Cricetulus griseus: one gene and its partners. The protein of the gene in region 3 interacts with the protein of the main gene of each other region in a pairwise test. Links are inferred from orthologs where the notes say so. Each region holds a gene or a part of one and is shown on either strand. Other genes may lie near its edges.

Region 1 (4,165 bases), on a different chromosome or scaffold from region 3:
CCCAATATGTACAACCTAGTCACAATGTACATACTGAACATTGTTGTGAGAATCCATGAGCTTTTATCTCTATGGGCCTCACAATCTTGAAGTATCTTGAGTTCTTGGGTATAATAATGAACTTGAGGTTGATTTATAAATGTAGAGTTACTGGCTATATAAGGGAGTGAATGAGATTTTTCAAAATTATACTCATGACCTGAATTTTTACATCGTTAGTACCTTTCAATTCAAACGAGCAAGGAAATCTTAAATAAAAGACACTTTAAATCTTAGGTCAAGCCTTTATTTCCAAACCACTACTAATGCTTGCATATGTGCTCAGATGTTTAGCAGCAAGACTGCTCACCTGTTGTTGTGGGGGTCGCTCGAAATGTTCCTGACACCATTTCACCCAAACTGGAGGAAGAGTTTCCACTCGATTTCCTAGACCATGGAAACAAACTTAAGACTCTCGCCCCAGATCCTTTGAAAACAGAAACTGAGAATCCAAGGTGTTCTTTGGCCTTCTACTAAATAATTCAAAACATACCAAAGCTTGTTAGAAGAGCTTCGGGAATCTGCTCAAATGATTTCGCTGACCTCATTTCTCAGAGAAAGTGGAGATCTAACTGAGACTTGGAAATGCTTGGCAAATTCTCTTTCCCTGTTATTTGTGCAAAAATTGGGCAGAAGGACCCCTGGCAAGGATGCAATGTGGAGATATGTGTTTACCTGAATTCAAGTACTGAAGTACCAGTCAGAGGCCAGACAGCTCAATACAAGCAAGAGGACCTGGAGAAATGCTTCTTAAGTGTATGGGGTCGGGGATGTCCCACAAACTTTTCCTGCTATCAACAGTAATGGGGCTATCAATAGTAAGTCATGTATGTTTATAGCCCAATGATGAGCAGTTCTGTCACTTACTGCCTGTGGAAAATACTGCAACACATCTTTGGGTGTTTGTTTTCCCCATCTATGGAAATAGGAGTTATCTATACCTTACAGAGAGAAGCTGACAAATTAGCTTCTGTGAATGAGCCCTTGGTATTATTGTTTCTCTTGCCTTGAAGTAAAAAAAAAAAAAAAAGTGTGTGTGTGTGTGTATAATAGCGACAATGGTGGGAGATTATTGAGACACTTTTTAGTAGGAGACAATCAAGGCAAACAAGAGAAATAGGTAAAAATCTAATTTTTCTGAGAGTAGTAAGTATAATAGAAACAATTTATTTGGAAAGAGATGGAAATGCAGGGAAAGGGTGAGTCTGGAGTGGATACAACTTAAAATACAGTGGGGAAGGAAGGAGTCACTGGAACGGCAATAAGCACCTGAAGGAGATGGAGTGATCTGGTAACAGCAAAGGAGGAAGAGGTACCCAGTAGGAGGAAGGAAATGCAAAGGCCCCCTGGAAGGGCCAAGTGTTCCTGATGTGCTAAGAAGCATAGAGAATGAAATGTCTAGGGCAAAGGGAACCAAAGGATTAATAATAAAACACCCTAACAGAAGATTAATCATTAGAATGGTGCTTAACTATACCTCTATGATCTTCCATTACTATTGAAAGGTTTTCATTAGGGAAGACTTAAATAGCACAACATTTTTTTTTATTTAGAAAAATTAACTGGAAAGAGAGATTGAATAAAAGGAAAGAACTGCTTCAGTCAGACATGGCGATGCACAGTTGTGATCCAGCACTAGGGTGTGGGGCTGGTGCAGAAGAATTGCCTCACCAAAGGGAAGCCTGAACTACATAGCGAGATTGTCTCACAGCAATAACATTAGCAAAACTTGCTAACACATTTGAAATCTGTGCTTCAGGGCAGGTAGCAGTACCACTGAGACCCAATGCAGTCAGGACTTCTCTCAAACTGCTCACCCTCCTGGGACCTGCCACTTGCGCTCTGAAGTCTGTGTGCTGTTTCCTTTGACCATGGGAGGCTGGTACATTGCAGCTCCCCAGTGTCTTCAGCACAGTGTCAGCAGAAGATGACGGCACAAGAAACCAAGTAAAGAAAAGTGTGCCCAGGACTGTCCCGCACCATCACATTCTGAGTTTATTGGACACAGCTTTTGACAGAGAACCAAGCAAAACCACAACACTTGGTCATGTCAGCTGCTACCTGAGCTGTCTTGAGAAATGAGGCCCCATGTAACTCTCACAGAAGAAAACTAGGGTTTGCAGATAGGTTTTCTGAGCCCACAGGAAGCAGCTGCCACTGTGGAATTCATGTGAATTTCTGAGTTGCTGGAGTTCAGAACACAATGGAACCCCAAACCTTTGTGTCCTCCTCAAGAACAGTATGTGTGCAGTTAAGTGTCCCTTTGCTTTAAAAGTAGGCTCTCATTGGGGTGAAGGCAAAGAGAGTCTTCAAGAGCATGTTTCCAAGATAAAATAGAATCCAGCTGAAAACAGAGGTTAAGTTAAAAGAATGAACTGCTTCAGCCAGTTTTTAATAAGAAACTTGAAATTTTACCCACAAAATAAAGTAAGGAAGAAGGGAGGGAGGGGGGCAAAAGGGGGAGGGAGGGAAGAAAAAAAGGCTAGCTCATGAAGAAGATGGGATGTTACCCGCCATGGAATCGGCCTCTTTTCTGTTCTTGCTGAATACGTATGTTCTCCAACCGAAGAGGACTTGGGATGAAGCCAATCTCGCAGCCCTCTTTCACCAGCCTTCCTATCCACCAATCATTGTTATATTTCTGAAAGCAGAGAGGAAAGCTGCTATCAATAGTAATTCAGTTAACCTCACGTCTCAGTGTTTATTTCAGGGAAGCAGAGGGATCAAATGCTAGTCACCTGATGTACGAAGCCACATTACACATACAGTGCATAGAAACCACCAACACCGTGCTTTTGTATTTTGTAGGAAATGTTTTCAGTTGATAGACTAAAGGAAGATTCTTCAGGGGTCTTATTTGCAATGGCCTGAATGGTAAATATGATCTCTACTGTAACTCGTGGATTCTGCTGTCCTACTATCACAAAGACTCAAGAGCATGGTTGTGTTTCAATGTAAGTGAGCTAACAGTCTGTCAGCACAGTCTTACTCAGATTATCAGCAAAATCACATTGGCAATTATTGATTTACTGAGTCCCAGGGCAGATGTCAGTTTAGTCTAAGCCATCTGCCTCAAGAGAATGTTTCTACTGGTAATTTCTAGAAAATAGATAGAAATCATATTGTTTAAGCCTTCCAGGAATGAGTACAAAGGTGCCTTCATGGTCTTTATCAGCATTGACAAGAAACTCTTTTCCTCTGTGTGTGTGTGTGTGTGTGTGTGTGTGTGTGTGTGTGTGTGTGTGTGTGTGTGATGTAACATACCAACTCTAGGATTAGCACAGAGGAAAGTGGAATTTACATTAACTCTAATACTGACATTGTAACAAGGAAGAACGAAAGCTTCATTGAATCATCACGGCATGAAATTCTAAGTAATTCGGATAATCCCAAGTAACCTTCTCATATTCAGCCCTTTCTGCACAGAGCCCCTGCAGAAGCCAACCTTTGTGCCCATCTTGAGACTGAGCTGAAAGGAGCATGAGTTGATGTGACAGAGAGACTCCAACAATCTGACTCTTAGTTTCCTGTCTTTAATTCAGGATAATACACCTGAAATAACAGTCCTGCTTATTTTGTAATTAAGAAAAGGCAAGTGGACCCTTTTGGACACTTTGGTGCGTAGGTTTGGAGTTTACATTTTACTGTGACAGGGACAACAGACTATGAATCAGAGTTTCCTAGGGCTTCAGTTATTTCCTGAAATTAAGTCAGCCTACTGGGGCACTAATTTGTTAAGTTGTACCCCGGTGAACTTAAGGGCTGCTGCCTAAGATGGCTAATTCGACTTCCCAAAGGGGTTTACTGTGGTTCTAAGAAACAGCTATGGAACACCGAGCCTCTGACTCAATGTGAGTGACAGTTCTCTGGCCACTGGGGAGTGAGGTGCTGTGCAAAGTCATGAGCTTCAGTTCTCTCTGTTTGACTTTGGAACAAGCACCATTGTGTCTTTTCTTGACCTTTAAGCCTTTCCATTATTGAGAAAACAGAAAGTGTGCTGGTACCTGAGAGACGGCATAAAAGGAAGAAGTCGGCCCATTAGGAAGCATGTCCGTCCATGTTGCTGGTGTCCCAGGGGTTGAGCCCCCTTTCGGGAAAGGCCCCCTTAGCACCATCCCACCCTTCC
Region 2 (4,320 bases), on a different chromosome or scaffold from region 3:
ATGGCTCTTCCAACCCACAGACTGACACAGGACATGTCCATAGCTCTGCTTGTAGCAGTAAAGATCCTTCATCCCTCTGGCTTGTTCCTTGAGATATGTTTTGTTTCTTTTCCTCCATGCCACTACTCATGTTGTTTATCCACGTCACCCTTTCCTGTGCATTTCTAAGGGCAGCTTTGTAAAAATATATAAACACAGGGCATGTCTGGTGACCACTTGGTTGGAAAGGCTTCAGGGCCTACAGTGGTGATCTGTCTGCAAAGGACAGAAAAGCACAAAGCAGAAATCTGACTCTGGCAGTGAGAAGCCAAAATAAAACTGGCTCTAGGAATTAAGAGGAGAGTCAGAGGAGAAACTGAGACTCTGGAACAAATCCGAGCCCCAAGGACATCAGAACTGCATTCCACCTGTCTGGGGGCTCAGCTGAGGTCAGGGAAGTGACCAGACAGGGCTAAGAAAGAGGGAAGCCTGGGACAGCTGAGGCACTGGCCAGAGTCTGGCATATGAGCAGGTGAGTGGGCAGGTATGGAGACACCTTGGCTGCTCTATCCAGCCTGGATGGCACCAAGCTACTAGAGAGGGGAGAGCAATCAACAGGTCCTCTTAGCCGTGGGCAGTGCCAGTTTTATGTGAGCGTAAGTTCTGAAGGCCACGCCTCCTGGAAGGCTGCCTGCACTCAAACGCAGGCAGAGACACAAGTAATGCCAAGGGAACTCACACTGTGGACCCCAGTGGGCTCGGGGAGACTGAGTGAGCGGCAGGTATGTGCTTTGTAGGCTCAGACTACCCTGGCCTTTTCCTTCCTGCTGGGTACTACATTCTCAGTTCCTCAGCCAGAGGTAGCAGCTTCTAACCCTTCCTGGGGCCATCTGAAGGTTTAGGTTAAGAGTAAGAAGCCTGCTCTGAGCCCATGTGAACAGGATGGGGTATGAAATCCTCTGCCTACCTGGGTTAAACAGCAAAACCAGGCTCATCAGACTGCCAGCCATGAACACATCAGGAATGTGGGGCTGCCCTGAAGGCAGAGGGCCCTACCTGACTGGGCTTTGTGGGAGGGAGTGGGCATCTCTTCCAGAAGAGCTTATCACACAGACTGGTAAACTGAGGCATTTCCCACTCATCCCTCTGCCCTAGATTTCTGAGAATAAGGACTTGACAATGGAGAATATGCTACAGGGGGCTTCGAGGCAGGCCCTGGCCTGAGATCAGTGTAGCATGGTTCTGAGGCAAAGCAGTGCCTTCAGGGCTAGTAGTAGCCTAAACCCCAGGTCTCTCCTGGCCTCTTCACCCTCCTGTCTGCATTCACCACACTGGCTCCAACACAATCATGCCGAGGCTTCAGTCTTTTGCTGTGAGCCAATTTCCTATACTTACAGCCGGCCCTGAGACTCAGGCTCCCTGTGGTCACTGTTATGCATGGACACCCTGGTCTTGTACAGACAACTGGCTTTGCCCTGGCAACCTAGCTGCTGCCTAGGTGGCTCTGTGGGGCGGGCCCACAGACTGGGGAGGGTGGGGCATCCAGGGAGACTTAAAGAGCTCCCAAGGCACACCCTGTGCTGCCGCCGGATGCCTCAGCTCCTACCATGGCCGAAACCACCAAGCTCCAGCTGTTTGTGAAGGTTCTGGGCAGGCTGGGCTGGAGGGGGTGTTCTGTTTTCTTGTACAGGCTGGGGGGGATGGGTTTTCCTGTGGGTGTTCTTCCCCTGTGGTGGGCTGAAGCTGCCCCACACAGAGCTGAACAGAGTCAGGCAGGTTGGGGGAGGAGCTCCCATAGCCGGGTGGGAGTGGGGGGGATCAGATAGCCAAGGTCTCTTCACCTTGGCTCCTGGACTTGGCCCAGCTCTGGGAGAAAGTCCCTTGGTGGGGAGGTATCAATCTGGTAGACATTTAGCTAGAGATTCAGGTTCATGTGCCAGATGGCCCCATTAGCTTAGGCCAGTGCTCCAGATCTGAGTGGGGGCAGGTCCTGGCCTCCTCTTTGGTCATTTCCCTGAGCTGAGCTGTTAGCTTCAATACCTAGTTGTGTGGGTTAATCACTTGGAAGATGACTCTCTGGCCTACCCCATCCTGTTGTCAATCTCTGTGCCTGGAACTCTCTGGTTCTGAAGAAAGCTTGTGGAAGGCCCCAAACCCAGGCCCTGTCCCTACCTGCCTTCAAGTTCCCAGCTTCCCTTGTTTTCCCCATTCCAGGGATCAGGTCAAGGGCCCTCACTAGACACTTGTAGATGCCATGCCCAACCATGCCAGAGTCCTAGGGTGCCTCCAGAGCCAATGGCAGTGGGAGGCAGGTTCCCACCCAGCCAGGTGTCAGGATTCCTGGGTCTGCTCCCAGCCCAACACCCCTGCTCCACCCACCCAGGCCAGTGAAGATGGTGAGAGTGTGGGCCACTGCCCTTCCTGTCAGCGGCTCTTCATGGTCCTACTCCTCAAGGGTGTGCCCTTCACACTCACCACAGTGGACACACGAAGGTGAGACACAGCCCTGGACCCCTCCCTAGCTTCTGCCCCGCTCAGGCCAGCCACCTCCCTTCTGCCTGGTGTCCACAGGGCGTTGGATGTGCTGAAGGACTTCGCACCAGGCTCACAGATGCCCATCCTGCTCTATGATGGGGATGTGAAGACAGACACACTGCAGATTGAAGAGTTTCTGGAGGCAACACTGAGGCCACCTGAGTGAGCACCTGGTGGGGCAGGAGGGCAAAGATGGGACCCCCTGGGGGTACAGTTGGGAGAAAACTTAGGAAGGGCACTTTGAGACAATGTATGTGAAGATCTGACTGGAGTTCTCAAACCACTCACACCTACAGCTTCCCTAGCCTAGCGCCTAGGTACAGGGAATCCATCACAGCAGGAAATGATATCTTCCACAAGTTCTCTGCCTTCATCAAGAACCCAGTGCCTACACAGGACAATGGTGAGACACAGGCCAGGAGGTATGGGCAGGAGGGCCAACCCAAGGAAGGCCAAGGTAGAGTCCTCAATGTGCCATTGCCCCTAAGCCCTGTATCAGCAGTTGCTCCGGGCCCTGACCAGGCTGGACAGCTACCTGCGTGCACCACTAGACCACGAACTGGCGCAGGAGCCACAACTTCGAGAGTCCCGACGCCGCTTCCTAGATGGTGACCAGTTTACCTTGGCTGACTGCAGCCTGCTGCCCAAGCTGCACATTGTGGATGTGAGTGAGGGACCAGCTGGTAGATGCGGGGAGAAGGGCCATCGAGCGAGGCCCCTCATCACATTCCATTGTACCCACAGACCGTGTGTGCGCACTTCCGCCAGATGCCCATCCCTGAGGAACTGTGTGGTGTCCGCCGCTACCTGGACAGTGCACTGCAGGAGAAGGAGTTCAAGTATACATGTCCACACAGTGCAGAGATCCTGGCAGCTTACCAGCCTGCTGTGCACCCCCGTTAGCACCCCTAACTCCATACACTCATCTGCAGCCCCATAAAGACATCCTGCCCCAAGTAAATGTGTCCTGAACATCTAAGTGGCCAGAGGCCCACAATTACGCCAGTCCAGTCCCACAGTGAGAAGCATAGTTCAAGATGACAGCCTAAAATGATGAGGGCAGAAAAGTCTGGTAGGCAAGGCACAGTTCACCTTCATCCATGGTGCTACAACAAAAGCCTGGAGCCCCCAACAGCTGCCCTGGGACAGAGGGCAGGGATCTAGGAGACTGGATTAGTCTCCCAAACCAGTCAGGCCAGAGCTGGGCGGGGTGCCCTGGATGGCCAAGAAGGGTGGGGAGCAGAGCGCCATGGAGCTCAATCACCGGGATCCTGGCCAGGTAGGTGGGGGCAGGCCTACATTCCTTAGTCCTGCCACAGGCTGAGAGCCAACTCCATCTCCTCCTGTAAGGGGCTTCCACTGTCTGATGCTCTATGGTACACATTCCTCAAGACAATTCTGTGCATCTTTGTATGGGACAGGTGTGACCTGCCCTGCCTGGGTGGGGCTTGGAAGTGTGGGACATCATTCCCAGCCTTATAGAGTCCTGGCCCTACCAGGCTGGGACCTTCTCAGCTTCTGGGCTGGCCATGAACACAATCAGTCTGAGAAGGCTTTACCCTAGATCTAGCCAGGAGAGCCTCCTGGATGCACAGAGCCTGGTGCATCTGTTTGGATCTTGGGGCTCCACACCAAAAGGGTCTTCTCTGGCCCCCTCCCCAAGGCCGATCCTCGCTAGTCAAGTCTGGACTAGCATTTCTACCTGAGACAGTAGTTTATTTGACCAGGAAGGCATGAGAGGTACTCCTGCCCAACAGTAGGATCAGCCAGTGGAAGTTAAGCAAGGGGTGTCTCTGAATGGTGGGG
Region 3 (4,817 bases):
CTATGGTATATCTACTTAATACAATACTGCTACAGATCTAGGAAGTCCAAAAACCTCGAGTGATACATTAAATGGCTGCCCAAACTAAAATTTGATCTGGGTAAAACAATCAGGGAGGAGCCATTAAAGATTTCCCAAGGGCTTCAGGCTATCCTGGTTTACTTCCTGTTCCTATAATAAAATCCTCTGACCAAATGCAACCTAGGGGAGGAAAAGGGTTTATTTGGCTTACATTTCTAGGTCGCAGTCCATATATGGAAAGTTAGGACAGGAACTCAAGCAGGAACTTGAAGGCATAAGCAATAAACATAGCTTGCTGACTTGCTCAATCATTGGCTCATGTTTAGCTAGCTTTCCAATTAAAGCCCAGGACTGCCAGCCTAGGCAATGCCCACAGTAGGCTGGGCTCTCCCATATCAAGTAAGGCAATCAAGATAATCCCCCACAGATGTGCCAACATGCCAAGCTTATCTACAAAGTCCCTCAATTGAGAATCCTTTTTCAGGTGATTCTAATCTGTGTCAAGCTCACAGTCAAAGCTAAGACACAGAGGCCAGATAATGTAACACATCTGAAGACAGATTGGTAGCATGGACTCAAAAGCAGATGATCATCTGAAGATGGCAGATTTGTAAGAGATGCAACTACCATGTTGGTTACATGAGGCTCTTGAGACAGATTAAATCCTACCATGTCTACCTGAACTAAGATGTCTTCCTTCCAAGCTGGGTTGTCTCAGGCTTGGTAGTAGAGTGTCTGCCTTGGGCATAAGGCCTGGGGTCCTATTCCCCAAACTACGGAAAAAAACTTTAAAAAAATATAGTGGTACTTAGATAGCCCAGGGTTAACTAATAGTCACCTAACTGGACTTAAGGTCCACTCAATGGAACTTCATATCTAAGACTACAGACCCTAAAGGAGAACCTAATACTTCCACCTCACTAAACAAGTATAATTTTCTAACTGCATTCTAAATGCTTGCTCTTACATCCACAGATAAATGTAGCTCCAGCCCTCATCAAAGAAACTTCTTTGTGCAGCAGACAGGGATTGCAGAAAACCACAACTGGTCAAAACGCACAGATCGACTGATCATGGGTGCTTGTCCCGGGTTAATACATTTACACTTAAGGCTCAGGCAACATCAAGGAAGAGGTGGCAGAGGAACTGTGAGATCAACAGGACCAGAACATCTGCTTCAAGATAGAATCTTCTTAAAAAAAAAAAAAAAAGGACATACATGGTCCCCCAGAGAAGGGGAAAGGGACAAGATCTCCTGAGCAAATTGGGAGCATGGGGTAGGGGAGAGGGAGCTAGGAGAAAGAGTAGGGGAGAGGAAGACATGAGGGAGCAGGAAGGTTGAGTTGTGGGAAGAATAGAGGAGAGCAACATGAGATATACCATAATAGAGGGAGCCAGTATAGGTTTAAAGAGAAATATGGCACTAGGTAAATGTCCAGAGATCTATAAGGATGACCCCAACTAACCATCTAAGCAACAGTGGAGGTGCTACCTTAAATGCGTTCCCCTGATAATGAGATTGACCTTATATGCCATCCTAGAGCTGATGAAGTAGAAGCAGGCACCCACAGCTAAACGCTGAAGTAAACTCCTGGAATCCAGTTTCAGAGATGGAGGAGTGATGAGCAAAGGGGTCAAGACCATGACTGGTGAAACCCATGTAAACAGCAGACCTGAACAAGAGGGAGCTCATGGACCCCAGATTGCTAGCTGGGAAACCAGTATAGGACTGATCCAGACCTCCTGAGCGAGGATGTCAGTGAGGAGGCCTTGGAAATCTATGGGGCCTCTTGTAGTAGATCAGTACTAATCCCTAGCATAAGAATGGACTTTGGGAGCCCATTCCACATGAGGGGTGCTCTCTCAGCCTAGACACATGGGGGAGGGCCTAGGCCTTGCTCCAAAGGATATGATAGACTCTGAAGATCCCCCATGGAAGGCATCACCCTCCCTGGTGTGCAAAGGGGATAGGATTGGGAGTTAGTGGGAGGCAGGGGAGGGAGAGGGAACTGGGAATGGCATGTAAAACAATCTTGTTTCTAATTTAAATAAAAATGGAAAACAAAAAGAAAAAGGACATGAAGTGGGGGAGGGAGGAGGAGGGGTGAATGTCAGAGGAGTTGTTGGAGGAGTTAGGGGGTTAATTAATGAAGATACTTTGTATGAAATTATCAAGGAATAACAATATATTATTAAAGTTGTTTTAAAATTTTATAAAAATCCCTGTACTTCAGAAACTTGGGAATAAATTTACCTCAAGACCCAGCTACACCACTCTTGGGCATATACCTAAAGGATGCTCAATCATACCACAAGGACACTTGCTCAACTACATTCACAGTAGCATTGTTTGTAATAGCCGGAACCTGGGAACAACCTAGATGCCCCTCAACTAAAGAATGGATAGTGATGTCAGACTCTGAAGATCCCCATGGAAGGCTTCACCTTCACTGGGAAGCAGAAAGGGGATGGGATAGGGGTTTAGTGGGGGGCAGGGTAGGAGGGAACGGGGAACTGGGATTGACATGTAAAACAAGCTTGTTTCTAAATTAAAAAATAGAAGAAAAAAGAATGGATAGTGAAAATGTGGTACAGCTGTTAAAAACAATGACATCAGAAAATCTGAAGGCAAATGGATGGAACTAGAAATCATCCTGACCGAGGTAACCCAGACACAGAAAGATAGACATGGTATGTACTCACTTTTAAGTGGATATTAGCTGTAAACTAAAGGATAACCATGTTATAATCCACAGACCCAGAGAGACTAGGTAAAAAAGGAAGGCTCAAGGGGGAATGCACGGATCTCACTGGGAAGGGAAAATGGAAGCGATCTCCTGGGTATGAGTGGGTGAGTGGGAATAGGAAAGTGAGGGATCTGGTTGGAGGTGGATGAAGAGAGAGAGTACTGACTGGAAATGGGGGTGGCATTTCAGAGTCAAGTAGAAACCTGATGCAAGGAAAACTCCCAGGAATCTACAAGGATAACCCCAGCTAAGATTCCTAGCAACAGCAGATACATAGCCTGAACTGGCCATCTCCTTTGACCAGGCAATACTTCCAGTGTAGGGACTGGGACACCAACCCAGCCATTTATCTTTGACCTACAGTCTGTCCTGCCCATGGGATGTGCTGGGGTAAGGGTGACACAAATTGTGGGAGTGGCCAAGCAATGAACTGGTCTAGCCTCAGACTCATGGCACAAAAGTGAACCTACCCCTAATACTGCCTGGAGTGCCAGGACCCAGAGGCTGGATGGCCCAGAGACCTAGGATAGAACCAAACATGATTGGCAAAAAAATTCTATGTAATGATTCCTAATTATATTCTGCTATACTCATAGATTAGTTTCCGGCCCAATTGTCATCAGAGAGGCTTCATCCAACAACTGATGAAAACAGATGCAGAGAGCCACAGCCAAACACTAGGTGGAGCTCCTGGAATCCTATAGAAGAGGGGAAGGATGGATTGTAGAAACACTGGGGAGGTGGGGTGTCAAAAACACCACAAGAAAACCCGCAGAAACAACTAACCTGTGCTCACAGGAGCTCAAAGAGTCTGAAATGACAACCAGGGAGCCTGCACAGGACTGATGTAGGCTCTCTACATAAGTGACAGTTGTGGAGCTTGGTCTTCTTGTGGGACTCCTAACAGTGGGATCAGAGGCTGTCTCTGACTCTTTACCTGGAATCTGGGAACCTAGTCTTCACACTGGGTTGGTTGTCTTGCCCAGCCTTAACACAAGGGGAAGTGCTTACTTAGTCTTACTGTGATTTGATATTCCATGTTTTGTTGACATCCATGGACAGAAACAGGGAGGAGCAGATTGGGGTGGGCATGAAGAGGAGAGGTGGCTGGGGAGGGGAATGAGAGGAGCGAATGGAGGGCAAATAATAAATAAATTTAATTTTTAAAATGCACCATTAAAAAATCCCTGCACGATAACATTGAGGTCCTATTTCCAAGTATGATGACAGATTTCCATTCTATCTTCTCCATTTCTGTAAAGGAAAAGTCTCAGTTTGACAGCACAACACTGACTTCATCGTGAGCTTCTGAAACACTTTGCAACTACAACAACAAAAGAAGGCCCTAGACTCAGCATCAAATTTAAGGACACCACTTTGTTCCTTTTTTTCTTACTATGAACTTCCCCTTTTATCAACTGGATCTAAAATATTTAGCTTTATTGGGATTCAATTGGCAGAGTTGTTAAGTATATAATGGATATGTTGGACTGCACATAGCTTTATTTTTAATTCTGAAGGTGAATTACATAATGCCAAAGTTTGGCAATCCTTCACTCCCTAGGACAAATGCCACATAAATAGGTCAGTTAAAGAAGCCAAGAGAAAATGGGTTTGGTATGACACATCCAAAATGCCAGCGTTTGGGAGGCTAGAGTTTGAGACCATCCTGAGCTACATGGCAACTTCCAGATCAACTTGGGCCACAGAGTGAGACCCTGTCATAATAAAGAAATAACCCCAAAGGAGGAGGGGGGGACTGAAGAGAGAGAAGTTATCTTGGCAGCAATGTAACCCTCAGAAGCTGTGGTATGCCATGTATGTGTCAGCATAACTAAGGCTCTAGGGAAGATGAATGAGGATGCTGAGAAGAGGATGTCCAGAAGATGGATTAAGTAGTGAAAAACCACACGGCTGAAGAAACAAGAGTGACTACGGTCAATTAGCAGTTTCCACACTCAGGTTGCAACTGCCCCTCCTCGAATTATGGGTTCTGGTACAGGAGCTAACAGCTTCAACCTCTCCCTCCCATGAATTCCTGTGTATGTC
Region 4 (4,165 bases), on a different chromosome or scaffold from region 3:
TAACCTGAAAGCCACATTTGGCATCCCTGCTTTGTTAGGCCAATAGTGACTTAGTTGAAAGTAAGGTTCTTAATGTCTGAGTTGGATTCCAAATAAAAATTAGGATTTCTGATTTCTTTAGGAGTTGGAACACGGCCTGTGAGATGGCTCAGTGGGTAAAGGTACTTGCCATATAAGCTTGGTAACTTAATGTCTATCTCCAGAACCCACACAAAGATGGAGAGAACTAACTCCAAAGGTGTCCTTTGACCTCTACGAGTGCTATGGGACATGCACCCCACCCCAACCACATACCCTAATAACATTTTTTTTTTTAATTGGAGGATATGGCAATGACCCTGGAACTAAGTTGATGCAAACAGACAGTGCTTCTGTCTGAATGCCTGACATCAACATCTGGTCTTATGAACCTGTTGTACTAGGGCAGGGTGTGTCTAAGACTTCCCTGCCTGTAAAACCACAGCTATGGTGCTTTCTTCCTAGCTCCTGGGAGAGATGAATGAGAGCATCAGCTAAGTATTTAGAAGGACATTGGCTCAGCAGACAGTGGTGAGAGTGTAGAGTGTGAAAGGCAGAGTGGTGAAGGTCAGAGCATAAAGGCGGCTTCTCATCACCAATGAACATTTATTGAGTGTCCACATGTACACAGCTTTGAACTTGGCGGTCACAGAACGCACTGGGGGCGGGGGTGGGGTGAAGCAAGGGGTCAGGAGTATGCGGGTCTCCAAGGGTTCAGAAAGGTAGTTCCTGCTGGAGCCGCCAGTCGCGTCTCCCTGCAGGAGTCTAAGCAGGGATTGGGGTAGAGGAGCTGAAGCCAGGCACCACGGTGGCAGTGGAGTGCAATCACTGGGAAAACATGCGGATTCTAGGGTGGTGTAACCTCCTGCTCCTGGCTCCAGCCAGGCCAGATGGCACCAGGGGCACAGGGATCTGATGCTCAGGTCTCCAAGCAAGGATAAGGACAAGCAAAATAAATAACCCCAACCCCCATCTTCACTCTGCTGCAACATGACACAAAAGCTCAAGAGACCTGGGACCAAGGGCTCTTGGGTTCCCTCAAGGAAGCGCAGGTGGAAAGAGGTTCCCCACCCCCCCACTGGTCTGCCTGCTCCAAATTGCCCTGGAAGGACAGGGGCATGTCGGACCCTGGGTCACTAAAGTTGAAAGGAAGAACTGCGATGTCAATGGCCTGAGCCTGCTCTCCGTCCAAGAGGACTAAAGGCAAGAACCAAATGGCCAATATAAAGGGCGCGGACCTTGGGGAGCCAGAAGGGGCACCACAGCCTTGGGGAGGCCACGCCCTGGCCGGCAGGGCACATAGGCTGAGGCAGTCAGCGCCTGCCAGCCCGCTCCTACCCTGGAACCTCCCTTCTGTCAGGGAGCCAGACATTGGGTATAATGACACTTAGTTGCCCTCGTTCTGGGGCTGCTCCAACCTTCCCCGGCCTGGCGGGGCCAACCTCTGTTCCAAGCCAATCCCTGCCCCAAGGGGGCTGGGGGCAGGATGCAGTTCCTTATACTTAAGAGGTGGGCATCATGCCCTAGCCCTCAGAAAAGCCAGAAAGCTGGGGTGTTTGTAGGGGAAGTCTGAAGAAGGGTCCAGTTTGGGGGCTTCAGGGAAGATGCCTCCTCCCTCCTTCCCTCGCTGCCCGCCCCTGGGTCTATCCCTACTGGATGCCCCTCAGGGCTCTGACAGGCACTGCTCCAAGGCAGCCATGCGGTAATGGCTGGCTGTTTCTTCACCCGCTTGCAGCCTCATGGCCTCCCGGCACAGCCGGTTAGCCCTCGCTAATTCTACCAGCACACCCTGGTAGGCAGCCACCATCTCAGGCTTGACAGAGTTGGGGCTTACACTACCTAGCAGTTGTAGCAATTCCTGTGGCCAGCGGGAGCGCAGGGCAGCAGGGGCCAACCAGGGCAGCAGTGGCACACAACCCGTGAAGGCCTGCATGCCCAGGAACCAGAGCTCTTGCAAGTCAGCCCAGATGCCCTCATAGTCAGGGGACAGGGCCAGCACTGCCTGGTCAGAGCCAGGGGTGGCCCGTGCCACATGGGACTGTGACAGAAAGAGGATGGCAGCTGCGAAGAAACCTCGGGAGGCTGGGGTTCCTTGGAGAGCTGAAAGAATGGAGAGGGCAGTGGTATGAACCAGACAGGCCAAACACTGGACTAATTCCCTCCCATGCTCAGAGAGCAGAAGCATCACCCGGACTCACATTGCCTAGGTTCAAAGCCTACCTTTAACACTTACAGTGTGATACTAGGTGTTTAAACTTTTCTGGGTTTCAGTCTCTTCATTTTAAGATGGGGCCAGTGGCACGCCAATCTTAGCAACACGTTGTCAGAATTAAATAATCTAGGTACACTCCATCATCAAGACCTCTAAATGCACAAGAGGTAGGAGTAAGCCTCATGTCAGATGTAAGAAAGAGCCTTCCTTGGGGTTTCCACAGTAGGGACCCAAGCAGCTGAGGGCTCAGAGCCCTTCACCAGGCTGAGAATGAACTAATTTGACTTCTTGCCAGAAGAGGGCGCCAAAGGGGATGATGAACATCGACCCAGCTCTGGCCCATCTGCTATTCAGGGGTTCAGGAGCCCCCTCTTTGGATCTCCAGGAAGCTGTTCAACCAGTGTGGTAGCATTTGTGGGTGACCCAGCACTGGATCCAAAGCATAGTGACTCTCCTTGAGGGCTAAATGCAAGGGGTTCCTAGTTCAGGGATACGTTCCCCCTTCCACAGCAAGGTACCCTGCTGGGATCCCCACACAAAAAACAGGCAGCTGAGGGTATGGGCACATTACACCCTGTTCCCAGGCATCTGCTCTGTTCCTCCAACCTGACAGATGGGGCACAGGGAACAGGCGGGGACAGAGGGACCCAAGCAGACACCCACGGTCAAAGTGGGAGACACTGAGGGCTGTCAGGGGCTGGAGGGGACGCCCTTCCCCCTGCACACAGCCAGAGGGAGGGAGGGCAGAGAGAAGCTGATGCGTGTCACTGAGTGGGGTGGGGTGCTAAGTGGTAAAAATCTCAATGCAGCAAACCACGCCTGTGACTCAGGGCCTGGGTGGGGGCAGCTCCACCTTGAAAACGCGGGATTCAGAGTTCCCAGGCTGCCAGGGATTCCAGGTGCCTATGCTTGTGACTCTGAACAGGTCTGTACCAAACACCCACCAGGCCTTGCCTTAAAAGTATTTAAAAGGAAGAGACTGTTATCATTTTGGGAAGGGTGGGGGTGGAGGATGGAGCGATACTGTAGAAATTACCTTTCAATGGGAAAATTCTGCCACACCATGTTCTGAAAGTGAGGGCTCAGGTTCTGAACTCATGTATTCTGTCCCCAAGGCTTACCTGGAGAGGTGCTGAGGAGCCGGGCCATTAGGAGGCCCAAGGTGGCCACATTGGCAGCTAGAAGCAGTCTCCCTTGTTGCTGCACTAGTGAGGGCAGTGATGTCATCAGGGTGTTCATAAGCGATGTGAAGCAGGCATCGCGCCTGGGGAGAAAAGGGGGAGGGGGGTGGCAGGCAGAGGGTTAGCAGACTCGGTCAAGCCCTTTGGAAAACCTGGCATATGGTTTCTAGCTTCACCTGACCAGGGTTTGCCAGGACATCACGCAGCAGGGTGAAGTGTTAACTTTTGACTGCCATCTGGGTTGGTCAGATGCCAGCTGACTGAGCTGAGTGATGGCTGGAGCAGACAGACATGCCCTGAGATACCTGGGGCTCTGAATACAACACATCTTCGAGTGGGACTGACTTTGTCTGTTCTGAAACCTGCTTACACTAACAGTAAGAGAAAACTACAGACACAGGGAAGCTAAGGAGAAGGTTGAGAGCGGGCTGACAGGACAGCCCCTCTGCTTCCTTGGCTTTCCTCCCAGCCTCTCCCAAGCCCCTCACTTGATCAGCCCTGGTGCAGTGACCACCAGGTTGAGGAAGATGTGACAACAGGTCTGCAGGCCGATCTCCACGCTGTCTGGCAGCACTGAGGTATCATGGCCGGGGGATGTGAGTTCCCACTGCTGCAGAAAGTACTTGCACAGAAGTGAGGGGGCCCCTTCCTTGATCAGGATCTCCCGGGGCCCATCTTCAACAGTCAGGTGACACCAGCCGGGCAGGAGGAGCCTGAGCACGTGGAGACAGATGAACGTGAGATTGGAAGAGAT
Region 5 (4,751 bases), on a different chromosome or scaffold from region 3:
CTGTGAACTGCATATCCTTTGCCTGACTGTGCGATGCTGTAACAGGAACCTAAGGGAAGGTTCCTTCTTGCAGATTCTTATGGCCAAGAGCACTTGGCCCACCTGGAAAGGTTCAAATACATGTCTTGCGTGGCATTCCCCTGCTTTGAGGGCAGAACTAGAGTCCCTAGTAGGGATGAGGTGACAGTCCAGGACTTAAGTTTAGGCTGACTTTGAAAAAGCTCTCTGGCCTGGCAAGGGGCAGAGAATTCTAAACTTAATGGAACCCTTCCTCATTCTCTGGCCTCTTTCTACAGGGACACAACACTGGTCTGCTACCTTTGAGAATCACTACACTGAACTTCCAGGAGACAGTAAATGTAGACAGACCAATATTAAAACTCTAATTACAATGCTGATAGGATAGTGGTCTCTTATCTCAAAGCAAAGGAAATATTTTGAGAGGGTTGTTAAAATTGTAATTTTTTTTTTTTTGAGAAAGGATTTCACTGTGTATCCCCAACTGAGAACTCACTCTGTAGACCAGGCTGGCCTCTAACTCACAGAGAGCAGAGCCCCCCCGCCCCCGCTAAAACTGTAAATTGTTTTAAAACACAAAGTAAATTACCATCAATCTTATATTGAAACCATCGTGCACAGATTCAGTCATTAACACTAAAACAAAGAACACAATCCTTTGCAAAATCCATTTATCTTAAATATTAACAAGTTTAGTATCTAAGATGTTTAAACTATTTTTATATCATAACTTTAACAACTTTTAGAGATTCTTATTATTTGAATAGTTTCATGCAAAATGTAATATAGTCAATTTACCTCTTCTGTCTCCCTTAAGCTACTACTTTTTTTAAATGAAAGCAACTAGCAGTTAATTCTGAAATACTTTACACTAGGACACCAACTAAAGACATTTTCTAGAACAATTTCTGTAGGAGAGAATATCAAAAATATGTGAAACCACCAGATGATAGCGCACACCTTTAATCCCAGCACTCAGGAGGAAGACAGAACTCTGAGTTCAAGGTGTACATAGTGAGTTCCAAGCCAGCAAGGGCTACACAGTGATAGGTGAAACCTCATTTCAAAACAGACACACAAACAAAAACTTCAATCAATTTGTTAAAGTTTACTTCTAGAATCAACCCATTTACGGTAGAAATTATTCACAGTTTTAGAGTCAGGTGCAATTCACAAACCAAACCACAGCACAAACACGTAGGCAGGCACACAAGGACCCCGAGTCACCCACTTCTTTCCCATAGCAATGGGTAGAAGGTAGTCCTTACCAAAAGCCTTCCGTATAATTCACAACTACCTCAGTATTGCAACAGGACACGTTATAACTAATCTTGATGGGTAAGAGATTTTGCCCAGCTGTGAGTACACGTTTGTAAAGACAAGTGAGCCTAACACTTGTGCTAGTTCGGCAGTAATGAAAGGCGAGACAGTTACCAAATGTTGCATGTGACCAGCTGACGGCTATGAAGAAGAAGAAGAAGAAGAAAAAAAAAGCTGCAAAGGGAAAGCAGCTGTAGCAGTATGAAAAGGAAAGTTTGTTCTAGCTCTCTTTCATCCACTTAGGTCGGATGCTTTTCCAAGTCACAAAAGAAACATTGTGTCTATGGCCCAGAAAGTTAGCTGAGATTGTGACCAAACTGGTCAGGATGAAAAAAGAATGTGAGCGGTGAGCTCAGCACAGATGCGATTTCTCATGATTCAGTTCTTTACAAAAACAAAAGCACTTGTTCAGGCTGGTGAGGAAAGGGCCAGAGATAAGCTTTAATCATGATTAAGGAAACCCCTCCTCCGGGATGCTGAGGACACCTGGTCCTTTCTGGACTTTGTGTTGCTGGATGTGAGCATGCACGTGGAGTCTCAGCAGAACCTGCACTTTACAGCTGAGGAAATCAGCTTTACAAATGTTAACTCACATGGTCACATATGGCTGGTCCTTTATCTCAATCTATAGTGGACTTACATAGGGATAATCTGTGATTATTACAGCCAATAAAAAAAGCATTAGACCTTGAAAGCCTCTAGGTGACACAACTATGATTATCGGTACCAGGAACTGAACCTATGGCCTCGGGAATGCTAAGCATGAGCTTCTGCCACTAAACTACACCCAAAGAACCACAGTTGGCTATTTACTGCAGATCTTCACCCCACCCCCAGCACACCCATATGTATTAAATAGCTATCTTTCGGGGGCGATTTCTTCAGGGAAAATTCATCCCTCTTTCTCCAGGAACCTATCCACTTGTCTCTAAATGCCATGACAGGAGATGCTGCCTGCATGACATCTTCTGACACCTCTTCTCAAGATCCTGTTGTAAATGCCTTTTGAAAAATTCAGACAGTATTAGAGGACTTCCCAATCCTTAGAATCCTTGCACGAAGAGTAGCTGGACAATTGCAGATAGAGACAAAGCAACTGCATCAGCACCTAACAACTAACTTCCTGGGAAAAGAAAAACGAGACACTCGCTAGCCCTGCAATGTTTCTCATGACTCTCTAACAAGCCTCATGCCCGGTCTAAGGCAGGATCTCCAGAACTGGCCTCTACTCGCAGTCCTTAAAAGTTTACTGAAACCAAATGCTTCTGAGCTTCTGCCGCACAGCCCCAAGTTGGGTGGTACAAGAAGATGAAGATGTCCGGTTAAGGTTTTGGGCACCAACCCCCATTGGGGCCTCCCTGAGTCCCACTAGTTATAGCCATAGCCACACAATAGTGGACCCACAGGCACACCGACCATCCGCAATGAACCGAGGCTGGGCCTTAGACACAGACACAAACACACACGGATATGGATCACGTGCATGGTCACAAGGACCGGCCCACCCGTGGACGACACTCACTAGTCACGCATGCTCGATACACACCCACCTACAACCCTACACGCACCACACACCCTCACTCCGCTTTCCAAGGCCTGCCCCTCACCTGCCGTGGCCACCCCCGCGTCCCTTTCTCTCCAGCCCAAACGGCTCTTCGGCCCGGTTCGGGCGCTGCGGAGGCAGGCGGCAGGGCGCGGGTGGGCCGGGCGGCTGCAGAGCAGAGGCTCCGCGGGCGCAGCAGGTAGAGGGGGCGCGCGGCTGAGCAGCCAGAGGCCGCCGCCTCCCAGGTCTGAATCCCGTAGCTCCCTGGGGCGCGCCTCCCGCTTCCGGGTTCTGAGGGGCGGGGCCGGACAGCGAGGAAGGGGCGGGGCTCTGGCGGTAACTATGACAACGAGGCTGGCGTGGAGCCCCGGATGGGAGCTTCTGTGCTCGCCCGAGCGCAAATGTATTGGAGCAATGCAGAAGCTGGCGCCAGTGCTGGCGTTGGGTCAGGGTCCGTCCTAGGTCACCTGTCTGACATAAGCACCAGGAGAAAGCTATGGCAGTGAAGTCTGTGCTTCTGCCTTCAGTTTTCGGGTGGCTCGTGCTTCGGGGGAGACATCTTTGGGTTCTAGCTTTGGTGAATAGAGCTTGATGTATTTGGTTGGTTGGTTTGGTTTACTTTTTGGTTTTGGTTTTTCGAAGCAGGGTTTCTCTGTGTAGCCCTGGCTGTCCTAGAACTCGCTTTGTAGACCAGGCTGGCCTTGAACACACAGAGATCGTCCTGCCTCTGCGCACTTCCCGCCTTGTGCATGCGCTACCACCGCCCGGCTATATATTCTTTTTTAATTAGCATAAGTTAATTAAATCACAATAACGGCTTCATTAGGACATTTTCATATCTACATAAAGTATTCTGGTCATCACCCTGTTAGTCTTTATCTTCCTCTCATGCTCCCATCTCCTCCCTCTTCTTAACTACATACTTTTTCTCAACAGAACTAGTTTTCTCTGTACAGTTACAGAGATCCTCCTCAGACCTCCTGTCCAAACTGTCTCCTTTTGCGGCTTTGTGCTGATGTTGAGGGGAACATACTCAACACTAGGCTTGCCCTCAGACACAGGTCCTCTTCTGTAAGGCTCACTCTAATCACTGTTCTTACAAAAGAGGGTGCAGATGTTATGACTCCTTTCAGTAAGTAGTTTTGCTCTGAAATAATGTATGATCATATTGAATTATCTGTAAATCTTGTTTGAAAAATTTTAAGAATCTTATAGCAAGATCTTAGTGTTTTAAGGAGAACTTAAAAATATATCTTTTTAAAAAAATTTTATTTATATAGCTTCACATGTCAATCCCTTCTCCCTCTCCCTCCCTCCCCAACCTCCCACCAGCCCCCCCTCCCCCCTCCACTCCCCAGGGAGGGTAGGGCTCTCCATGAGTGCTCCCCAAAGTCCACCACATCATCCTGGGCGGGATCTAGGCCCTTCCCTATGTGTCCAGGCCGAGACAGAGCATCCCTTCACGTGGGATGGGCTCTCAAAGTCCCTTCTTACACCAGAGAAAAATACTGATCCACTACCAGGGGCCCCATAGAGTGCCTAGGCCTCCTCATTAACATTCACGTTCAGGGGTCTGGATCAGTCCTGTACTGTCCTCCCAGACAGCATCTGGGGTCCATGTGCTCCCCCTTGTTCAGGCCAGCTGTTTCTGAGGGATTCACCAGCCTGGTACCGACCCCTTTGATCTTCACTCCTCCCTCTCTGCAACTGGGTTCCAGAGATCAGTTCAGTGTATAGCTGTGGGTGTCTGTCTCTGCTTCCATCAGCCACTGGATGAGGGCTCTAGGATGGCATAGAAAGTAGTCATCAGTCTCATAGGGGAAGGGCATTTAGAGTAGCCTCTCCACCATTGCCTAGATTGTCAGTTTGT
Region 6 (4,165 bases), on a different chromosome or scaffold from region 3:
GCAGAGGTGGCAGCCTCAGACCAGTGTCCAGATGACCTAATGCTAAGCGGCACAGGAGACAAGACAGCAAGCACCTCTTTAGGGTGGTGTTGCCAGGAGCATGGACGTGAAGCACCAGGAGTATTTTTCTGTCACAGTAGAACAATGTAAAAATGTTCCCAGTACCCACAGCCCAGAGGTTTCTCTGCTTTGCCTAGCCATATACAATGCTGACAGTATACACTTTTTGTTTTCAATCTAGGGGCTAGTAGTTAGGAAAAAAAAAAAAAAACCAACAAGCTCAACTTAATTAAGCAGAAGGCTCAATGAGGTCTCAATGAAAAGCTCACAATATACAACCAAGGAAAGGCTAGGGTTTCCTGACCCAGGTGCTGCTCACCCTGAGGTAGAGGAGACAAAGCCATTGTTTTTTCTCAGGTGATCACAGTCTAGGAAGAGCATGGAAGGGCAGGAAGGGCCATTCTCACTGGGCCACACTCAATAGTTTCTGTCTAGAATCCTTACTGAAGTGAACTTACTGAACTGAAGTTCTTTGCATTTGAAAACATTTTGAATTTGGATTGCTGACATCACAATGAGTCGTGTGTGTGTGTGTGTGTGTGTGTGTGTGTGTGTGTGTGTGTGTGTGTGTGTGTGTGTGTGTGTGTTTTACCATGTATTCTGAGGCTAGAAGAGGGAGTCAGGTGTCTTCCTCTATTGCTCTCCCCTTTATTCCTTTAGGACAGGATCTCTCACTGACCTGCTAGGCATATGCAGCTATGTGTGGGCTTTCTGTGTGATGTTAGGGACACAATCCAAGTCCTCATACTTGCAGGCATCTTCTAACCCATAACCTAAGGGTTGTCCAGATTGGTCTGGACATTTTAATTTTGGCCTTTTTTTTTTTTTTTTTTTTTTTTTTTTTTTTTTACTTTGTTTTAGCAAGGTCAAGACTCTTGGTCTTTAAGTTTTCACTCTGTGGTGCATTCAAATGTCAGACCATAAGAGATGCTATTTCAGGGTTCTTAACATACATGGGTTTTAGAGCTCAAACATTAGAGAAACAATTATAGAATAAAAGAATACCTTACTTTTTATTTTGTCTCGCTCAGATTCTGATGGAAATATCCAATCTGGAAAGAGCTCTTCAAATTTGATTCCAGGGTACTTTGGTCTATTTTCCACGTAATTCCTCACGGTTGGCTGAAGTTTCTTCATGAACTCTGCAGACGGTGTTCCTAGCTGTTCAATAACTTTATTCCACTGATCAATATCTAAGGATTCTCTTGAGGAAAATACAACTGAAATGCTTCATAGTCATAACATATACAGTACCATCATGCAAAGTAAAATTATATTTATATTTGTGGACAAGTAAGTAACTAGGTCACCCCACAGGATCAGCAAAAACATTTTGGAATAGTATTTAAATAAGGTTTGGTTTTTAAATTACTTAACAAAAACTCTCATTCTCTGCATCTTAAAGACTATGATTATGGCTCATTAAATCAACATAATCTATAAGTTTTTCTGTTATAATTCAAAATGAAATTATGACAAAAATGATTCAACCTATGATATAAATGATTAAACATGAAATAAACAAATGTTACATAAGCAAACTGAAATCAATTTTCATACTAAAGCTACCTTAGACTCACAGGTCTCTAAAGGAGAGAAGAGCTGGAGAGACCATCTGACCTGTCTCATAGCTAGGCAGCAAAGCCTGCGAAACAGGCTGACCACGGGAAGCATACAGAGGGAAGGGGCAGGGGCCCAGGCTCAGGCCTTTCCCACAGACCACACACCCTCCTGAAACTGCCTTAGACAATGATGCTTTCAGAGGCCATTCTGTTTCACTTAGCACCAGCCCATCCCTTCAGCATCTAGTGATGTGTTGTTCCTTCCTTTCAATGTACATGACCTCGGTTTCATAGTCAGTGAGTTCTACACTCTCAAGGTTGCTGGAGTCAGTCCTTAGGAGTGACGACCTCACTTGTACATGCAGGTGACACCAGCTTTGCTTAGCTCTAGGGGTGCTCGTTAGGCCTAGGGTGACTGGGACAATGTCTGTGGAAAGTGACACTGAAGCTGTAAACAGTCACACAAGACAATGCAGGCTATGAAATCACATAAGAGGAGCTTGGAAAGTGACAGGCTTTCTCAGAATATGTGTTTATGCCCCTGGAACATCACCTAGGGCTGTCACACAAACTCAGGTCTTACAGAGCGTTCATTTGGAAGGTCTACTCAGGAAATGGGTGCAGAGAGTGAAATCCTGGGTGCTCTCCTTCTCCTCTCCTTTCATGCACTTTGACAACTCAGGATTATGCACAGGTTTTATTTAGGGGCTTAGCCAAAACAGGAAACCTGGCCCATATTATCCCTCTCTCCATATACTTTTAACACCTCTTCCTGATGTTCCTTCCTCACTGTGAAGACTAATCCTAAGAGCAACATGATGCCCCCACCCCCATATCTCTGTGCCACTTACCACTGGGAACCATCTGGGCTTCTGGCTAAAAGCCAAGCCCATCTACCTTCCCTTCTCACCTACTGAAGGACAAGTATCTCTTATTCTTATTTCTTGATGCTCCACCCGAAACTCGATCTCTACTGGAACCTTCTGCCATCATTCAGACATGATGCTCTCTTCCAAGTTAACAACAGCCACTTTCCTGTGACACCCCTAGTCTGCTTACTGATAACCTGCATCTAATTCCTATGTCCTTGTCCTCTCCTAAATGTACTCTCATCAGACTTCTCTCCCCAGTCATCTGGAGAACTGTTTCCATTAAGGTTGCCAGGGGCAACCACCAGACCCAATGGTAAGTTCTGAGCCCTTCCTCCTTTTCCTTAATCCCTGATCCTTTGTTCATCTCTTCAATGCTTAGTACCAGCTCAAGGTTTCAGTGCTATCAACAAACCAATGATTTCCACATTCCTTTCTTTGTTCCAAATCTTTGCCTTGAATTGCACACTTGATAGATTAGATACTCTGAATCCACAAAGTCATTTGATTACCCCTCGGAGAAGACTCCAGGGCCAACCAACTGGCCTGGTGTGAGCCCCACCATCTCTTTCTGGGTGACTAGCAGTGCCTCCTGCTTCTACTGTCCTCAAGAGATCTTGGCAGTGAATCTTTTACACTTCACTTAGATGAAGCACCTACAAATGGGTAGGTTCTCTCTCTCTCTCTCTCTCTCTCTATATATATATATATATATATATATATATATATATATATATATCTGGATTAGTGCTACAGGGTCATTTTGATAGATGGTGGCAGGGAGGTGGCATGGGGTGGGGGAGTGGGCTTTACCTGGGAAAGAAGCAAGGTGGACCTTCTGGGTGGATGGAGCACAGGTCTTTCATTTAGAAAAATAGGAAGCCATAGCCCAGAAAGACCAGAATTTCTCCAAGATACACAGCTGCCATGAGAGGCCGTCTGAACTTGGACTTCAGGTGGCCAGGCTCAAGTGTTTTCTTTCTCAGAAGCCACAGTAAGGAGAGCAGTTATTTTTCTGCCAAGGTCACAAGCAAACCTCTAGAGAACCTCAACTTGGTTTCTGGAGCCTTTCTATAGCACCCAAATTTTCAATCTAAACTTTGAAAAAGTGAGCAAAACTTTCTTTAGAAAATGATGTTAATTTCTGTGCAACTTTAAAGCACTTAGGGTGACCTTATATATAAAACATCAACTATTGTAACATGTTAACACATAAAATATTTTTAATTATAATTTAAAATTATTAAAGTATACTCAAAAGTACATACTTTTTTCATTTATTCTTACTTTTTGGAAAAAGTAATTTTTTTGTTTTTGTTTTTTCAAGACAGGGTTTCTCCGTGTAGCCTTGGCTGTCCTGGAACTTGCTCTGTAGACCAGACTAGCCTCAAATTCAGAGAGATCCATTTGCCTCAGCCTCCCAATTGCTGGGACTAAAGGCATGCGCCACCACCACCCAGCAGGAAAAGTAATTCTTAATGAAAAAAAGGTAGAAAACAAGTAAGAACTGGCACAAATGTAATCTTCACTGCCATTGGTAGTCCATCACAGTAACCATCACAAGTCCACAAGGTGTTTCTAAGTCATTGGTTTCAAATACCTCAACTTTTCCTTAGTTGATTTTACTTGTAAAATAAAGACTTATTTATAATGTAGAACAGATAAATCAAAGGT
Region 7 (4,015 bases), on a different chromosome or scaffold from region 3:
ACAGAAGCCAGAAGTGTCTGGGGATGTTTCTGTCCCCTTTGCAGCCATACTGGACCCATACTGGAAAGGCTTCTACAGCTGCAGCTGTGACTCCCTGCCTGGAGCTGGGAGCACAGGTGGGGTATAGCCTGGCTCCTGAGGCTCTGGTCTGAGAATGGGATGAGCCTGACCTTGGCAGCACAGGTGGGATATAGCCCGTCTCCTGAGGCCTTTAGTCTGAGAACGGGATGAGAACCAGCCTCTCAATCTCTGCATCCCAAATGCTTTTATTTGGGAAGCAAGTTGTAGCACCTGAGTGGTTCCAGTGGGTCATGTTCCTTCTCTCTTCTCCCTGCCCATGATGATTTTAGGGTCTAACTTAATGAACTTTAAACATCTATAAACATAGAGAACAATTAATAAAAGTCTGGGTGTAAGGCCCTTGGTTCCAGGAGGATTGTTCGAGGAAAAGATGTCTTGGTAAGGGGCCTATTGGGCCGCCTTGGGGAGGTGGGAGTAAGCTATGGAGTAAGTGAACTTAAAGGGTAAGATATATATCACCATTTTAGAAGCAGGTTTTTGGGTTTGCTTTCTCCCCCTACTTTATTGGGGAGGACTTGCCATTGCTTTTATCAAGTGCTTGCTAGCCATGGGTGCCAACTAACTTCTTCGATTGAAGGCCGGAGTATCATGTCTGGTTCCAGGAGCCGCTTGAGCAGGTCCTGGCATTCGGTTGAGATGCCCAGATGAGTGGGGAAGGATACCCCCTTCTGCTGCTGCCACAGCATCTTGGGGATATCTGTGTCATCAAAAGGTAGGCTTGCACAGAGCATTACATACAGGACCACACCCATGCTCCAGACATCACCTTTCTTGCTATCATGGGGTATGCCCTGTAGTACCTCGGGAGCGGCATAGGCTGTGCTGCCACAGAAGGTCTGGCTCAACTCCCTGCGTGACTTGGGTAGCACCTTGGCAAAGCCAAAGTCGGTCAGCTTCAGGTTGAAGCCCTGCAACAAGGCGTTCTCACACTTAAGGTCCCGGTGGGCCACGCCACAGCCATGGCAGTAGCGAATAGCCTCAACCATCTGGCGGAAGAGGGCCTTGGCCCGGCTCTCGGGAAGTGGCCCTCCGTTCAGCACACAGTCAAAGACATCCCCTCCCTCAGCCAGTTCCATCACCAGGTAGATTTTTCCGTCTGCCGACTCCAGCATCTCATACACCCGGATGATGTTTTTGTGGTCAAGGGTGCGGACGATCTGGAGCTCCCGAGGCAGGAATCTCTGGATAAACTCTTTGGGGGAAGCGGGGAGACAAAGGGGGCTATCAAAATCAGAAGGGTCTAATTTCCTCCCTCCTGACTCCCGTCTTCTGGCTTCTGGACACTCACCATTTCTGTCTGTCCCTCCTTGACTGCCTGAATAGTCTCAGATGTTCTAGCGGCAAGTATGACCTTTTATTATCTCAGGGTTAACTCACCCTTGGAACCTCCTCCCTGCAACCCATGAGACCACAGATGAAGGGGTGCTTGAAAACCAGACAAAGCTATCGAATCCCAGGGTTCTTCCCAGAAGCCCTGTCTTCCTGTCCCTTTCCCACCTCTTGGCACAGGCTCCTGTCATCTTCTAGCCAACACCTTCTGGGAAAGGAAAAACTGAGGCCCCTTTGCTTTGTGCTTTGTGGACGTGGGAAGATGCAATGATCCTGGATTTTCCACGTGCCTAGGGCTACTACAGACCTCAGGGCAGTAATCTGTTTACTGTCATTCTGACTAGAAGGAAAGAAGAACTGTTTGAGAAAAGCACCTGCCAACATTGGCTAGCCCACCCTCCAAAGGGCCCCAGCTCACCTTCTGGCCCTCCCATCTTGTCTATAATTTTAATTGCCACTTTTCTTTGATGTTTTTTGGAAAATGCTTCTTTGACTTTTGAGTAGGTCCCTTCCCCAATGGTCTTGCCCAGCTGGTACCCATTGGAGAGTAGAAAGTCCTCCATGCTGTGTAGCGCCTCCTTCTTGTCACCCTCTCAGCTCATGCTGCCTCTTCGAGGCAGCTCTACTCCACCATCGCCCTTGGCCTGCTTCTTTTCCCCCCAAGGACTTCATCCACAGCCGCCTCCAGGGCTAGAACATTCTCCGTCTGGACACAGCCACAGGTGGTGGGGAGGGAGAGGACCAGACATTTTTAAACTCCTGCCCAATTGTGATGTAAATGCTGTGTGACCCTCAGACAACATGGGCAGTGTCCCTACTTTCCCTCACCACCACCAGGAAACCCAGCCTCATTTAAGTCATTCATGAGTAAGGCACCGAGTGGTAACAGTGTCAGAGCAGGGGCCTGGGTGGCTGTGTAGAGCAGGGATGCGGGGCTTCTCCATGTGGGCTCGGTCACCCTCATCTCCGAAGTCTTCATCGAGCTGTTGGGGGATAGTGCAAACCGGTCACCAAGATGCAGTCGCCAGAGCCCTCCGGCTTCAGGCCCTCACTAAATGCCCGAATGGCCTGGGACAGCCTAGAATTCCAGCGAGAACAGGCTGTGTGAGGTCAGCACCCACAGACCGGGGTCACAATGCAGCCCTCCCCTTCGACGCCGGGGCCCCAGCGAGCAGCAGACACCTGCCAGGCTCCGCCTGGACCGGAGCGTCCTCCCGCGGCCAGGGCTCGGGCAGTTGCTTCCAGCCTGGGACCGGCCTCGGCCTCCGGCAGGTAAGCCACACACAGGAGGCGGCACGGGCAGGGAGCGCCCGGGGCCCCCAGGCGCCTGACCGCCACTCCCCGCGCAGAGTGCCCCGGGGCCTGGACATGAGTGCCCAGGAGACCCCACAGGGTCGAAGATTCCCCATTGAGGCCGGAGACTCCCCTGGCCTTGCCTCCGCCCCCGAGTCCCAGGACAGCCCGGAGCCTGTAGCTACGGATCATAACCCTGTCAGGTGAGGCCGATGCCCTGCCCCTCGGCCCCGCCCCATCGCCATCCCCCGGCCCTACCCTAGAGGACCCCAGGCGCGCCCCCCGGGCACGCTCCAACACTATGCGCCCCCTGTCGCCTGCCGCTTTCGCCAGGCCGCTCCGACGCTGCCCGGGCTGCCACTGTCTGACGCTGCTGCACGTGCCCATCGACGTCTACCTGGCCATGGGCGGGAGCCCTCGGGCCCGTGCCACCTGAGTGCGCCTGCGCACGGCAGCTCCGCAGGAGCCGGGCAGGACGAGGCCAGCCGCGGGCCACCACGCTGAGGTCGCACGCGCCGAGCACGAGACAATGATGCACATTTTAAAATAAAAGAATGATGCACATTTTAATAAAGCACAGCATAAACTGTTCTTTCCACTCCGGGCTGGCCGTGTATGTGTATCCGTCGGATTGGGCCCACGGGCTGCTCTGCCCTACCCAGTATCACCCGACTGTCCCTCGGGCTGCCTCCTCCCTCAGACCAGCCCTCCACCCATCTCCACTTCCCAGCCAGCTTCCCTCTCAACCTGTGGGTCTCCACCCTTTGAGGGCGAAGGATCCTTTCACAGGAGGTCGCTTAAGACCATTGGAAAGCCGGGCGTTGGTGGCGCACGCCTTCAATGCCAGCACTCGGGAGGCAGAGGCAGGCGGATCTCTGTGAGTTTGAGACCAGCCTGGTCTACAGTGCAAGTTCTAAGACGGGCTCCAAAGCTACACAGAGAAACCCTGTCTCGAAAAACCAAATATTAATAATAATAATTTTATGATTGCGGGTCACCATAAAATGAGGAAATGTATTAAAGGGTCACAGCACTAGGAAGGTTGAGAACCATGGCTCTAGGGGGTTGTCACCCTCTTCCAAGGAGGTTGCTACTCTTTTCCCCCTTCGGCCGCAGAATACTCCAGTTGTCAGTCTCCCCTTCCCTGGCCTGGGTTTCTCTGCGGGACACTGGCTGTTCACAGCAGTTCAGGACTGAAGCAAGGGATGGAAATTTGAGTGGACAATGTAGAAAATAAATAAGCAAAAGACTGACCACAGCAAGTCTATGTAATTCTCCCAAGCTAGAATTAGATTCAGCTCTCTGCTGTCTC

What was found.
Region 1: the proteins of Efhc2 (region 3) and Cacnb4 interact in binary tests that used the Homo sapiens proteins (3 or more experiments, as listed by UniProt). The two-hybrid records come from large-scale screens. The link is inferred for Cricetulus griseus from reciprocal best matches to the Homo sapiens genes EFHC2 and CACNB4.
Region 2: the proteins of Efhc2 (region 3) and Clic3 interact in binary tests that used the Homo sapiens proteins (3 or more experiments, as listed by UniProt). The two-hybrid records come from large-scale screens. The link is inferred for Cricetulus griseus from reciprocal best matches to the Homo sapiens genes EFHC2 and CLIC3.
Region 4: the proteins of Efhc2 (region 3) and Ncdn interact in binary tests that used the Homo sapiens proteins (3 or more experiments, as listed by UniProt). The two-hybrid records come from large-scale screens. The link is inferred for Cricetulus griseus from reciprocal best matches to the Homo sapiens genes EFHC2 and NCDN.
Region 5: the proteins of Efhc2 (region 3) and Spg21 interact in binary tests that used the Homo sapiens proteins (3 or more experiments, as listed by UniProt). The two-hybrid records come from large-scale screens. The link is inferred for Cricetulus griseus from reciprocal best matches to the Homo sapiens genes EFHC2 and SPG21.
Region 6: the proteins of Efhc2 (region 3) and Mapk9 interact in binary tests that used the Homo sapiens proteins (3 or more experiments, as listed by UniProt). The two-hybrid records come from large-scale screens. The link is inferred for Cricetulus griseus from reciprocal best matches to the Homo sapiens genes EFHC2 and MAPK9.
Region 7: the proteins of Efhc2 (region 3) and Tssk3 interact in binary tests that used the Homo sapiens proteins (3 or more experiments, as listed by UniProt). The two-hybrid records come from large-scale screens. The link is inferred for Cricetulus griseus from reciprocal best matches to the Homo sapiens genes EFHC2 and TSSK3.

What each region holds. Positions count from the first base shown.
Region 1 is NC_048599.1:121,898,798-121,902,962, reverse strand, and holds part of Cacnb4 (voltage-dependent L-type calcium channel subunit beta-4), read right to left. Parts: intron 2,700-4,165; coding exon 2,550-2,699; intron 427-2,549; coding exon 350-426; exon of another isoform or gene 1-349. UniProt on the Homo sapiens protein: The beta subunit of voltage-dependent calcium channels contributes to the function of the calcium channel by increasing peak calcium current, shifting the voltage dependencies of activation and inactivation, modulating G protein inhibition and controlling the alpha-1 subunit membrane targeting.
Region 2 is NC_048599.1:136,810,971-136,815,290, forward strand, and holds Clic3 (chloride intracellular channel protein 3), read left to right. Parts: upstream 1-1,586; coding exon 1,587-1,622; intron 1,623-2,362; coding exon 2,363-2,472; intron 2,473-2,550; coding exon 2,551-2,676; intron 2,677-2,810; coding exon 2,811-2,917; intron 2,918-3,002; coding exon 3,003-3,178; intron 3,179-3,258; coding exon 3,259-3,417; 3' UTR 3,418-3,442; downstream 3,443-4,320. UniProt on the Homo sapiens protein: In the soluble state, catalyzes glutaredoxin-like thiol disulfide exchange reactions with reduced glutathione as electron donor.
Region 3 is NC_048604.1:122,143,211-122,148,027, forward strand, and holds the start of Efhc2 (EF-hand domain-containing family member C2), read right to left. Parts: upstream 2,953-4,817; coding exon 2,776-2,952; intron 1-2,775. UniProt on the Homo sapiens protein: Microtubule inner protein (MIP) part of the dynein-decorated doublet microtubules (DMTs) in cilia axoneme, which is required for motile cilia beating.
Region 4 is NC_048595.1:26,291,415-26,295,579, reverse strand, and holds the end of Ncdn (neurochondrin), read right to left. Parts: intron 4,125-4,165; coding exon 3,900-4,124; intron 3,495-3,899; coding exon 3,352-3,494; intron 2,383-3,351; coding exon of another isoform or gene 2,357-2,382; exon of another isoform or gene 2,302-2,356; intron 2,119-2,301; coding exon 1,682-2,118; 3' UTR 605-1,681; downstream 1-604. UniProt on the Homo sapiens protein: Probably involved in signal transduction in the nervous system, via increasing cell surface localization of GRM5/mGluR5 and positively regulating its signaling. Required for the spatial learning process.
Region 5 is NC_048597.1:177,058,030-177,062,780, reverse strand, and holds the start of Spg21 (maspardin), read right to left. Parts: upstream 3,165-4,751; 5' UTR 2,946-3,164; intron 1-2,945. UniProt on the Homo sapiens protein: May play a role as a negative regulatory factor in CD4-dependent T-cell activation.
Region 6 is NC_048600.1:64,341,884-64,346,048, reverse strand, and holds part of Mapk9 (mitogen-activated protein kinase 9), read right to left. Parts: intron 1,254-4,165; coding exon 1,071-1,253; intron 1-1,070. UniProt on the Homo sapiens protein: Serine/threonine-protein kinase involved in various processes such as cell proliferation, differentiation, migration, transformation and programmed cell death.
Region 7 is NC_048595.1:23,554,344-23,558,358, reverse strand, and holds Tssk3 (testis-specific serine/threonine-protein kinase 3), read right to left. Parts: upstream 1,974-4,015; coding exon 1,829-1,973; exon of another isoform or gene 1,274-1,828; coding exon 612-1,273; downstream 1-611. Other genes in the region: protein FAM229A, read left to right, coding at 2,546-2,682, 2,760-2,906, 3,037-3,139. UniProt on the Homo sapiens protein: Serine/threonine protein kinase required for spermatid development and male fertility.